Arabidopsis thaliana: one gene and its partners. The protein of the gene in region 1 purifies or fractionates together with the protein of each later gene. This does not show direct contact. Each region holds a gene or a part of one and is shown on either strand. Other genes may lie near its edges.

Evidence for each region.
Region 2: the proteins of AT1G70600 (region 1) and AT1G74270 fractionate together in Arabidopsis thaliana (co-fractionation; one large-scale study listed by BioGRID). This does not show direct contact.
Region 3: the proteins of AT1G70600 (region 1) and AT1G07070 fractionate together in Arabidopsis thaliana (co-fractionation; one large-scale study listed by BioGRID). This does not show direct contact.

Annotation. Positions count from the first base shown.
Region 1 is NC_003070.9:26,620,315-26,623,820, forward strand, and holds AT1G70600 (Ribosomal protein L18e/L15 superfamily protein), read right to left. Parts: upstream 1,466-3,506; 5' UTR 1,295-1,465; coding exon 854-1,294; 3' UTR 507-853; downstream 1-506. Other genes in the region: ABCB26 (transporter associated with antigen processing protein 1), read left to right, coding at 1,772-2,221, 2,345-2,472, 2,627-2,669, 2,759-2,803, 2,902-3,024, 3,115-3,218, 3,335-3,389, 3,472-3,506.
Region 2 is NC_003070.9:27,927,641-27,931,216, forward strand, and holds AT1G74270 (Ribosomal protein L35Ae family protein), read right to left. Parts: upstream 1,898-3,576; 5' UTR 1,827-1,897; coding exon 1,795-1,826; intron 1,566-1,794; coding exon 1,530-1,565; intron 1,140-1,529; coding exon 911-1,139; intron 817-910; coding exon 775-816; 3' UTR 531-774; downstream 1-530. Other genes in the region: PUR4 (purine biosynthesis 4), read right to left, coding at 83-124; AT1G74280 (alpha/beta-Hydrolases superfamily protein), read left to right, coding at 2,118-2,438, 2,689-3,486.
Region 3 is NC_003070.9:2,166,949-2,170,504, reverse strand, and holds AT1G07070 (Ribosomal protein L35Ae family protein), read right to left. Parts: upstream 1,945-3,556; 5' UTR 1,854-1,944; coding exon 1,822-1,853; intron 1,597-1,821; coding exon 1,561-1,596; intron 1,165-1,560; coding exon 936-1,164; intron 844-935; coding exon 802-843; 3' UTR 548-801; downstream 1-547. Other genes in the region: AT1G07080 (Thioredoxin superfamily protein), read right to left, coding at 155-436; DFO (uncharacterized protein), read left to right, coding at 2,108-2,247, 2,333-2,540, 2,691-2,834, 3,158-3,299.

The DNA of each region.
Region 1 (3,506 bases):
TTTGTATCCACACAATACCACCAAAATTGTAAATCCGCGTTTGCAGTAGGATAATAAATATTACAGATTGTTTCGATTTTGGTTTTCTTTTGTGGGTTTGAAATGTTCCATGGTGTAGTGTACAAGTAATGATGATTTGAAAACACAAACTTTATATGAATAACATGTAAACCAAGCTTATCCCAAACATATGCGATATGATAAATATCATACGGTATATCATTTCTCATAGCACGACACTGAGCGTACCATTTGAAAAATTCAACGATTTCTTCAGATCTTGCTTGAAAATAAAGTTTGAATCTCAAAACTCCGTTCAAAATAGAAGAATATCAAAAACACGATGGATACAGTATAATATCCAAACACATTATTTTTTCGTCCAAATCTATGTGACTATGTTGACTCCGTTCAAATCTATGTGACAATCTGTACTATTGGGAAATTTGAAATGCATTTCCGCATATTTACGTAAATACATTACTAAGCAAAATCACATTCTAGCTGTTTCAACGTTACATATAACTAATCAAATGCAACAACACCTTCTCACTTTGATGACAATCGAACATCCAATTAAAAATTCAACAAGAACAATGCATATGTATGGTAGAAACAATCACAACGAGTTAAAAGGATCGTAACGAATGAATCATGACAGACAATTAAACCAGCATACGCAATTATAAGTCTGAATTCGGAATACCAAACATTTATCAAAATCCAACAAAAGGTTCATAAAACTACTAACTTTAAAGAGATCTCGCTCTTTCCAAAATCCAAAAGACAACAAAAGATGATAAAACTCCATAGAAGATTCAAAAACAGAGTTAAGCAAATAAATTCACCTAACTTAAGCAGTAAGCACAACAGCACCACCAGCTTCCTTAATCTTCTTCTCAGCAGTCTTCGAAATAAGCTTCGCCTTCACAACGAACGGCTTGTTCTCAGGCAAATGACCTTTACCCAAAACCTTGAAGAAACCATGTTGAGTCACATCGATCAACGGAACATTGTCCTTGGTTGATTTCGCCTTCACATCTTCAGGGACGAGTGACCAAAGCTTGTCGAGGTTAACGATTGGGCAGAAGAACTTGTTCCTCAGCTTGTGGAAATACCTCATACCAACTTTACCGAAGTAACCTGGATGGTACTTGTCGAAGAGGATCCTGTGGTGATGCATACCTCCAGCGTTACCACGACCTCCGGGATGCTTACGGTGCTTACCGATACGCCCATGTCCGGCGCTGACGTGACCTCTCTTCTTCCTGTTCTTCTTGAATCTGGTTGTCATTTTCGCCGATCTGCTACACTCTCCTCCCTCCCTTTCTCTCTTTGCGGCTAGGGTTTCTTAAGATATCACTGAGTTTATAAAGACGATAAGGATTTTTACGTTTCCTATTTTACCCTCTAGGGTTTACGACATTTTGGGCTATTTAGTTATAACGCGAGATGGGCCTTTAGGCCCGATTATATCGTAGAGGGGGAAGAGAGATCATCTACCACAACCACATGATTGAACCTTCACGCGCCTTTCTGACGCGCCGGTGTTGTTGTTGTTACCATGTGGTTCATGCCTTCGGTGGTGGATCTCCGTGGGTTCCACCTCGGTTTATTTTGGTTGACACGATTCTTCCTTACGTGACGTCTTTCTTCTTCAATTTCGAAACGACGCGTTTTAATTCTTCTTCTGCATTTCATATGAACCAAGGAAAAAGCTTGAAGCGTCGTGACTCGTGAAGCTTCTTCATCTTTAGTCCACCGAACATAAATGGCTCAGCAAGTACTCGGCTGCACGAGCCGCCCCATCCGCGTTTCTCTTCACCGGTGTTCTGTTATTACCACCAGTGACACTATCAGAAGGAAGAATCTCCGATTCGTTAGAAACCCGAGATTGTCGTTTTCTCTTCAATCTTCAACTAGAAATTATCGTCTGCCTTCGATTAATTGCTCGACGGTGAATGGAGCAGTAGCGGAAACTGCGGAATATTACGAAGGAGAAGGAGATAACGTTTCACTTGCTGAGAAAATCCGGCAATGTATTGATTTCCTCCGGACGATTTTACCAGGTGGAAGCTGGTGGAGTTTCTCCGATGAAGTTGATGGTAGGTTCATTGCTAAGCCTGTGACTGTTTGGCGTGCGTTAAGTCGGATGTGGGAACTTGTGGCTGAGGATCGTTGGGTTATCTTCGCTGCGTTTTCCACTCTTATAGTAGCCGCGGTGCGTGGTTCTTCCTTGGTTATGTATTTGTAGAAGTATTCTGAATCTCTACTTAGAAATTCTTAGTTCTAATGAGGAATCAGAATCGTCCTTTTCTTATACATTTTGTTTACTTGTTTACAGCTTTCAGAGATAACTATTCCGCATTTTTTAACAGCTTCGATCTTCTCGGCACAAAGTGGTGATATCGCTGTGTTTCATCGAAATGTCAAGCTCTTGGTTACGTTATGTGTTACTTCAGGCATTTGCAGGTCAAGATCTTGTATGATCAAACACTTGTCTCTGGTTTTATTTGGTTTCAAGTTGAATTAGAGAGTTACTCTTGCTGTCTAACCAACTTGTTGTTTTTGAGATTCTTTTATAAAAGGATTTCCATCTGACTCTTTGTTCAACTCATAATTTCAGTGGCATACGAGGATGCTTCTTTGGGATTGCTAACATGATACTTGTGAGTTCCTTTTTATTTTCTGCTTAAATCTACTCAGTAGTCTTACCTTCTCAGAACATGATATGATGGGATCTCACCCTACTCTGTAGGTGAAACGAATGAGGGAAACACTATACTCCACTCTTCTCTTCCAGGTCCTGAAAGTTTCTAGCTGTTTTGAATCTTGGTAGCTCATGTTTACCTTTAATATCTTTTTAGCTACTTTCGTTAACTTGGCTGGATTTTGCATCAGGATATATCATTTTTCGACTCTCAAACTGTTGGTGACTTAACAAGCAGACTTGGCTCAGACTGTCAGCAAGTCTCGAGGGTCATCGGAAATGATCTGAACATGATATTTCGCAATGTTCTTCAGGTCCTCTGCTACAATATAATTTCCATCTCGCCTGAAGTGTGTTTTTTGCATGGTTGACTTCTGAATGTATGTTTACCTTCTTTCTTTTAGGGTACAGGGGCATTGATTTATTTGCTAATTTTGTCTTGGCCCCTTGGGCTGTGCACATTGGTGATATGCTGTATTTTGGCTGCGGTTATGTTCGTTTATGGGATGTGAGATTCTACCAAAACTTGTCTCACTTTTATTAAGAATACTAATCTGTGAAGATATAATTGATTATACACCTGGCAGCTGAAACTGATACTTAAGCCATCTGGTCATGTTGTAGGTACCAAAAGAAGACAGCGAAGCTAATTCAGGAGATCACAGCTTCTGCAAATGAAGTAGATTGCTCAAAAACGCTTATCGTAACTTGTCTTATATGCAATGAATTCTTTCGTTAATAACTGCTCTGTGATCTTCAAGGTCGCTCAAGAGACATACTCTTTGATGAGAACCGT
Region 2 (3,576 bases), 1.3 Mb from region 1:
CAGAACGGAATCAAATAAGTTCATCGATCAATCGACACAAAACTTGGACCACTGATAAGAATAGCAGTAAGAGAATATTTACGTTTAGAAACAGAGCCGCACGAGTTGCTTGGGAGGTATTCATCGTCGCGAGATATGACCGGAACAGCAAACAAAGTGAAAAGAGGGTTTAGGGTTTTTCTCTGTTACTGTCTTAACGGGACCGAAGCTCCGACTCCGAGAGTACGGCAGTCGACACAGAGTTCTTGTCTGGTCTCTCTTCTCAACGAATCTTAGGTTTGTTGGTACTTTTTTGTTTACATGAGAACAAAATTCTGATTGAAAATTCTAAAGTTGAGCCTAGGTAAGCCCAATAAAGGTCTAATGGGCCTAAGGGCCGATATCACAAATCGAGTTTCAAATGTTTCAGTTTACAACTTCAATCAGCTCTTGTTTTTTGATTATTTTGAGTGATTTTCGATTTTCAGACTTCAACAATTAACATATGCCATGGATGATTCTGAGAATTTAAGTGTTTCTAAGAACTAATTATAAAGTTGTAATAGTGATTTGAGAAAATATGTTACCATTCGTCTGTTTTAATTCGTTATAAAAGGGGAAAAGGGAGTCTAATTTGGGATGAAAAACCGGATCCATGATCAAAGTCAATTTAGAGAATCTCCAAACACTTCAAACAAAGAAAGGAAATGCTTTCAATATCAAAATACAAAATAACAAACTAGTGAACAAAACCAAGGCGGCTAAATTATAAGTTTAAGCCATTTTTGCATTGCTTCATATGTTACTCGGATACATGAAGACTCTCACTCTGCTTCCCTGCAAGAACATAAGGAATAATATCTTGTTAAAAACCCAAGCAAAAGATTTCACTTCTAAACAGAGAAGATGATTATAGAATCTGTTTAAGTACCATGGACTTGGGAGGAAGGTTGGATGTGAATTTGGCACGGACAACACCGCTGTTACCGTGAGGCCTGGTAACCTTTCCCCAGATACAGCGGTAGTGGCTACCGTTCTTCTTTGTCTTAGCCTTGTAGATGTAAGCCATCCTCTTTCCCTTGTACCAGTTTACCTCCTCCTGAGTGTTAACTCCTTCGATCTGGACGAGGGACGTGTTTGGATACTGGTTGGACTTCGACCTGCACACCATAGTAAATGTCAGACCAGAGGAAGTATCAAACAGTAAGGTCTCGGTTTTCAGCATGACAAGGTTATTAAAGCAGAACTCAGTTAACAACAGTGTTGATTAATAGAAATACAAAGCAGCTCAAAAATAAAATGCCAGATAAGTGTCCTAAGAAATGTAGACAACTAACTAATCAAGAGTCAAAATGTTCCCATTTAGTGAAAGCATCAGACACATAATCTGATCATAAGTGGACGAGAAGCTTGGTTATAGGACTCGTTTCTGTCAAATTGGCTTACATAAATACCAATCAACGTTCATTACATGGAATCTTATTGGCGTCCAATCATAAGCTATAAGCAGTGTAAAATGGAAAACGAAAGCGATGAAAGAAATGGGTCACCTTTTGTATCCGAGGATGGTTCCCCTCACGTAGAGTCTGCAAAATTAGATAACATAAAAAGAATCAGACTTTCGCATTATCGATGATTACAAGATTACTAAACCATGAAGAATCAGCTCAAATCTAGACAATAACAATAGTAGCAAAACAGTTTCAGAAGTGAGGAAAACAGAGCAAATCTCAAATGATACACCGATAGAAAACCATCTTGGTGATATAGATCAAACTTGAAGAAGAACGAAAAGAGAAATAGAAGAAGAAAGACCTGACTCGTTCTCCTTGGCGTCCCTTGACCATTTTCGATTCCGCCGAATATCCAAAGGCTGCTGCTGCTACTCGAGGGAGAAAAACGAAGAAGAAGCCCTAATATGGGCTTATGGGCCTTAACACTATTGGGGCATTAGTATATTAAGCATCTTGGGCCATTACTATAATGAATAACATATAAAAATGGGCTTCTCTATTTTTATCTCAAAACAACAACAAAAAAACGATCTCTATGTTGTAGTTCTTGAACAGTTGGCTCTCTTTTCAAGAATCGTCGCCGTTGACCTCCGTGCCTCTCCGATCAACTTCCCATTCTTTTAAATGACGAGAGATTCATCAAGGAACAGCTCATTAAAGCCATGGCCTCGAAAAAAATTTCTTTTTCCTTCTGTTGTGATTGTCATTGTTGGGATAATCGTGGCGTTTACTTATCAGTCCAAGTTGAAACCACCTCCGCCGAAGCTATGTGGCTCCTCCGGTGGTCCACCGATCACAGCGCCGCGGATAAAGCTTCAAGATGGGAGGTATTTGGCTTACAAAGAGCATGGACTTCCAAGAGAGAAAGCTAACCGCAAAATCGTCTTCATCCATGGATCCGATTGTTGTAGACACGATGCCGTTTTCGCCACTCTGCTTTCTCCGGTAAGTTTTACACAATCAAGATTATGCATGTCTATATGCTTCTATCGTTGATTTGATAGATAGTTGTTATGTAATAATACTTTGATCACTATGTTTTAATCATTTATTTAGTTAGTGGCATGTTAATTTGTAGCAAGTAGTGTTGTTAAAAATCCTTGTAGTATAGAGAAGTTTAGTGAGAAAGTTATTTGAGAGTGACGTTTTCGGTTTTTTATTGGGACCTCTAACAGTGTGTCAATACATTTTATAGGATTTAGTAGAGGAACTAGGTGTATATATGGTTTCATTCGACAGACCGGGCTATTGTGAGAGTGATCCGCATCCAAGTCGTACACCGCGAAGCTTGGTTTCGGATATTGAAGAGCTAGCTGATCAGTTGAGTCTAGGATCGAAATTTTATGTGCTCGGGTACTCGATGGGAGGACAAGCAGCATGGGGATGTCTTAAATACATTCCTCATAGGTTAGCCGGAGTAACACTAGTTGCTCCAGTGGTTAACTATTATTGGAAGAACTTACCTTTGAACGTTTCCACTGAAGGTTTTAACTTTCAACAAAAGAGAGATCAATTGGCAGTTCGTGTTGCTCACTATACTCCTTGGCTTATCTATTGGTGGAACACACAAAAATGGTTCCCTGGTTCGAGTATTGCAAACCGAGATCACAGTCTCTTGGCACAGCCGGATAAAGATATCATTTCGAAGCTTGGTTCTTCGAGGAAACCACATTGGGCAGAGGTAAGGCAGCAAGGAATACATGAGAGTATTAACCGTGACATGATCGTTGGTTTTGGGAACTGGGAATTTGGTCCTTTAGACCTCGAGAATCCGTTTTTGAATAAGGAAGGCTCTGTGCATTTGTGGCAAGGAGATGAGGACATGTTAGTACCTGCGAAGCTGCAGCGTTACCTTGCTCATCAGCTTCCATGGGTTCACTATCATGAGGTTCCGAGAAGTGGCCACTTCTTCCACTACACTAAAGGTGTAGTTGATGACATTGTAAAGTCGCTCTTAACCTCCGATGTAAGAGCATCTAGAGTTTGTATTTGATCATTTGTAGCTTCCAAAAACTCTGAAAAAAAATCCCAAAAAAATACACGGATACAATAGAGTTATGTACTAGTTACATTTGTCAGCATC
Region 3 (3,556 bases), about 24 Mb from region 1:
AGATTTATGCAAATGAGAGAAGACCAATTTGTCAATCTCAGATGCAAACAACATCAAATTTCAGTTAAGGAAAGGGTGATTTTCTCAAAATTGAAGCTTAATTCAATCGAATCGGAAACATCGAATTCGTAAATTGAAGAAAACGAAGGAGTACCTGGCAAACGGCAGTGACGTTATCGGAACGGAGCTTGGTATTGCCCCACGGAGAGAGATGGAGATCGACGATTGATATGAGATCGTCTTCGAAGAGCTTCGCGAGGTGGTTAACAATGAAGGAAGAGCAGTAGGGACAGAGAGACTCGTAGTACAGGCCCACCGAGACTTTAGGCGACGAAGATGGAAGAGATACCCCAGAATAATCAGATGATGATGCAAAGGGGAAAAGAAAAACGTAGCAGACTAGGACTGGAAGAAGTTTGCTCGGCATCGACGCCATGGATGCAAATGCAAGGTTTTTGTGTCGTCGCCTTCTTCTTCTTCAAAGAACATTCAATAAATATGAAAGAGCCGAGAGAAATTAGATAATTGCTATTCCCAATGGTACCAATTTATTACAGACACGTGTAGCTTCGAAAGCCACGTGTCTCACTTTCATTCTGTAACCGTCAATAGTTCAACACAAAGTAAGCTCAGGCTTTGCAAAATTTGGGTAAACTTGTGAACTCGACTTATCAAAAAGGCTCATTTTAACCAAAATTGTTAACTCCAAAAAAGGTTCAGGATAAAGAGTCAAATAATAAACAAGGTCCATAAACAAAGGCTTGCAGATAATAAACCACTTGATGACGAGTACACACTGCTTTAAATGTTACTCGGATACATAAACACTCGAACTCGAGATCCCTGCAAAAAAACAATCAACCAACTGTATTAGAAGAGCTAGGAAAGAGATAACAACAATTTCAAACATATATAACTGAAATGATTTGGATTACCATTGATTTAGGAGGCAAGTTTGATGTGAATTTGGCTCGAACAACGCCACTGTTACCGTGAGGCCTTGTGACTTTGCCCCAAATGCATCGGTAGTGACTACCGTTCTTCTTGGTCTTGGCTTTGTAGATGTAAGCCATCCTTTTACCTTTGTACCATGACACTTCCTCAGTGGTGTTAACTCCCTCGACTTGGACTAGTGACGTGTTGGGATACTGGTTTGACTTCGACCTGTACATATTTACACACAAAACGTGTTTAAGGACACCATTCTGACAAGATCCAAAACAGAAACAACACTAAATGGTAGATTGTTTTGCTTAAGTGTATACGCTAAAACTTTATTGCCAATTGGTAAACGTAGAGCTCGTGACTATAACAAGCAAAATCAAGATAGTCTCCTTATTTTGTATACCCTATTCCCAAATTCAACAATCTAAGATCGGACGAAGACAAGTGAGTCTACTTTCTCAGGAACTAACTTTTGAATCCTATAAGCAACTAAACTGAGGTCATAAAAAAAGTGTATTAACCAGTATTATCAGCCAAGATTCACTGTTTATGGGAGCTAGAACAAAAACGACTAAAGTGGAAAACAACAACAACAAATCATGTATCAATGCGCACCTTTTGTAGCCAAGTATGGTTCCCCTGACATAGAGTCTGCATCACATAAAAACAAAATTGAGTGAGACAAAAGCTTAATTAAGACTAAAGTTGAGATAATTTGGTACACAGAGATTGAAACACATCCAAAATCCAGCTGAGAAAAGCTAAAAGCGAGATCCATAGAAAGTGTAAAAACGCCAATGATGCCAGCTAATTTCAGGAGCAATGTGAAGCTTTAGCAGATACAGAATTAGAGAACATAGAAGATGAATAACCAACCTGACACGTTCTCCTTGGCGTCCTTTCACCATTTTTGTCGAATCGTCCGGTGGAAGAAATTAGCAGTTGCCTTCAGAAAACGGAGACGAAAACTCAAAAAAACCTAATAAGCGAATCCTTATCAGTCGCGGAGGTAATTAGATGGCAAGTAAACGTCATCGATTTGATATTAATGGGCCTATAAATCTACATATGGGCCGAATGTCAACTCGTCAGGCTATCGGCCCCTTGCTTATGTTGTCCTTAAATGAGTTCTTATAATGCGCCGTCAAAATTAACAATTAAGATGCGCCATAACATAAAATTCAAATCAAAGGGCACATTGAAAATTCGAAACACCGCTCAAATTTCTCTCTGGAAAAAATGTTCAGATTCGATGATCGCTGATCAGACTTATCTCTTTATCAATCGGGTCCAAGACAGAAGGTTCTTCAATCCATCCGAAGCATCTGATTCTCAATTTCTCTTGTGTGTGTGGCTAGAACAGGGTTTCTTCTCACTGATTGTGCAGGTTCGATGAAGAATCTCTTCGGATTCTCGAGTTGTCTCTGGTTGCAATGAATGTGAAATCGTTTTTGGAAGTTAGATCTCGATTGAGAGATTTCATGAGATCTGAATCGGTTGTTATATTCGGTGAGCTCACCGGAGAATCCATGGTCGCAAAACTCTCCGTACTTGAATTCTTCGCTCGTGCTTTTGCTCTTCTCGGTGATATGGAGGTTCGTATACTGTCCTTGTCGATTTTGAATAAATTCGAAATTATCTTTCAGCTTCTTGTTCGATTATGAGTGAAGATTTGCAGATGGATTTGTGCACTTTACTCAACTTTTCTGTAATGTATGTATATATGGTTGTTATATGTTGAGTAGAGTTGTTTGGCTATGAGGTATGAGGCATTGAATTTGCGGCAGCTCAAGTCTCCTAGCTGTTTGTGGTTAGGGGTTTCACATTCAGAATGGACCAAATTTGCAGTCCAATCTATGGAAAATGGATTCCCTTCCATTGCAGGAAAGGTAAATTACTCTTCCTTCTGTAGTATATGATCTCGTTGCTTTTGGGAATGGTTGGAGAAATTCACATAAGAGGAATGGTTAGAGATTCTGTACATGTTTCTTGGAAAGTGAGTTTACTTTGTAATTGTGTTAACAAGTTCATGCTTGTATGATCGGAATTGTTGCTTTACCAATTTATTCAATTTTTTGGATACATAGCAATTTGTTATTTGTTACATTTTTCTGTTCCCACATGGAAGTACAGATCAGATAGGTTCTTTGCTTCTTTTGATTTTGACTTGTTCTTACTATGAGGTATGACATTTTGATGAGTTTTTACGTAGGCGTCTGAAAATGCCCTGTTGAGCCTTAAGAAGGATAGTCTTATTGAACCAAAATCAGAAGATAATTCTGACATTTTGGATGCTGCTGAGAAAGTAAGGAGACTAAGGGATTCAGCTGCCTCGTTAACATCTTCACATTCAGGTATTTTCATTTATATCGTGTCTTCTTTAAAGTTTGCTGTTTGTAACAGACTTCTGACTACATTTTGATTGCTTTCTTCGTCTCTATCTAAAGTATTGGTCTTAAATTACTCGTTTTATTCCCACCGTTCAATGCCTTCAATGTAGTGTGACTGTTATGTATGGGAGAATCCATTGAGTTTGATAGAATCTTGGAAATCTACTGGTTGGAAAGATTGATGATTTATAAACTGACTCTACCAACTATTGTTTGGATCC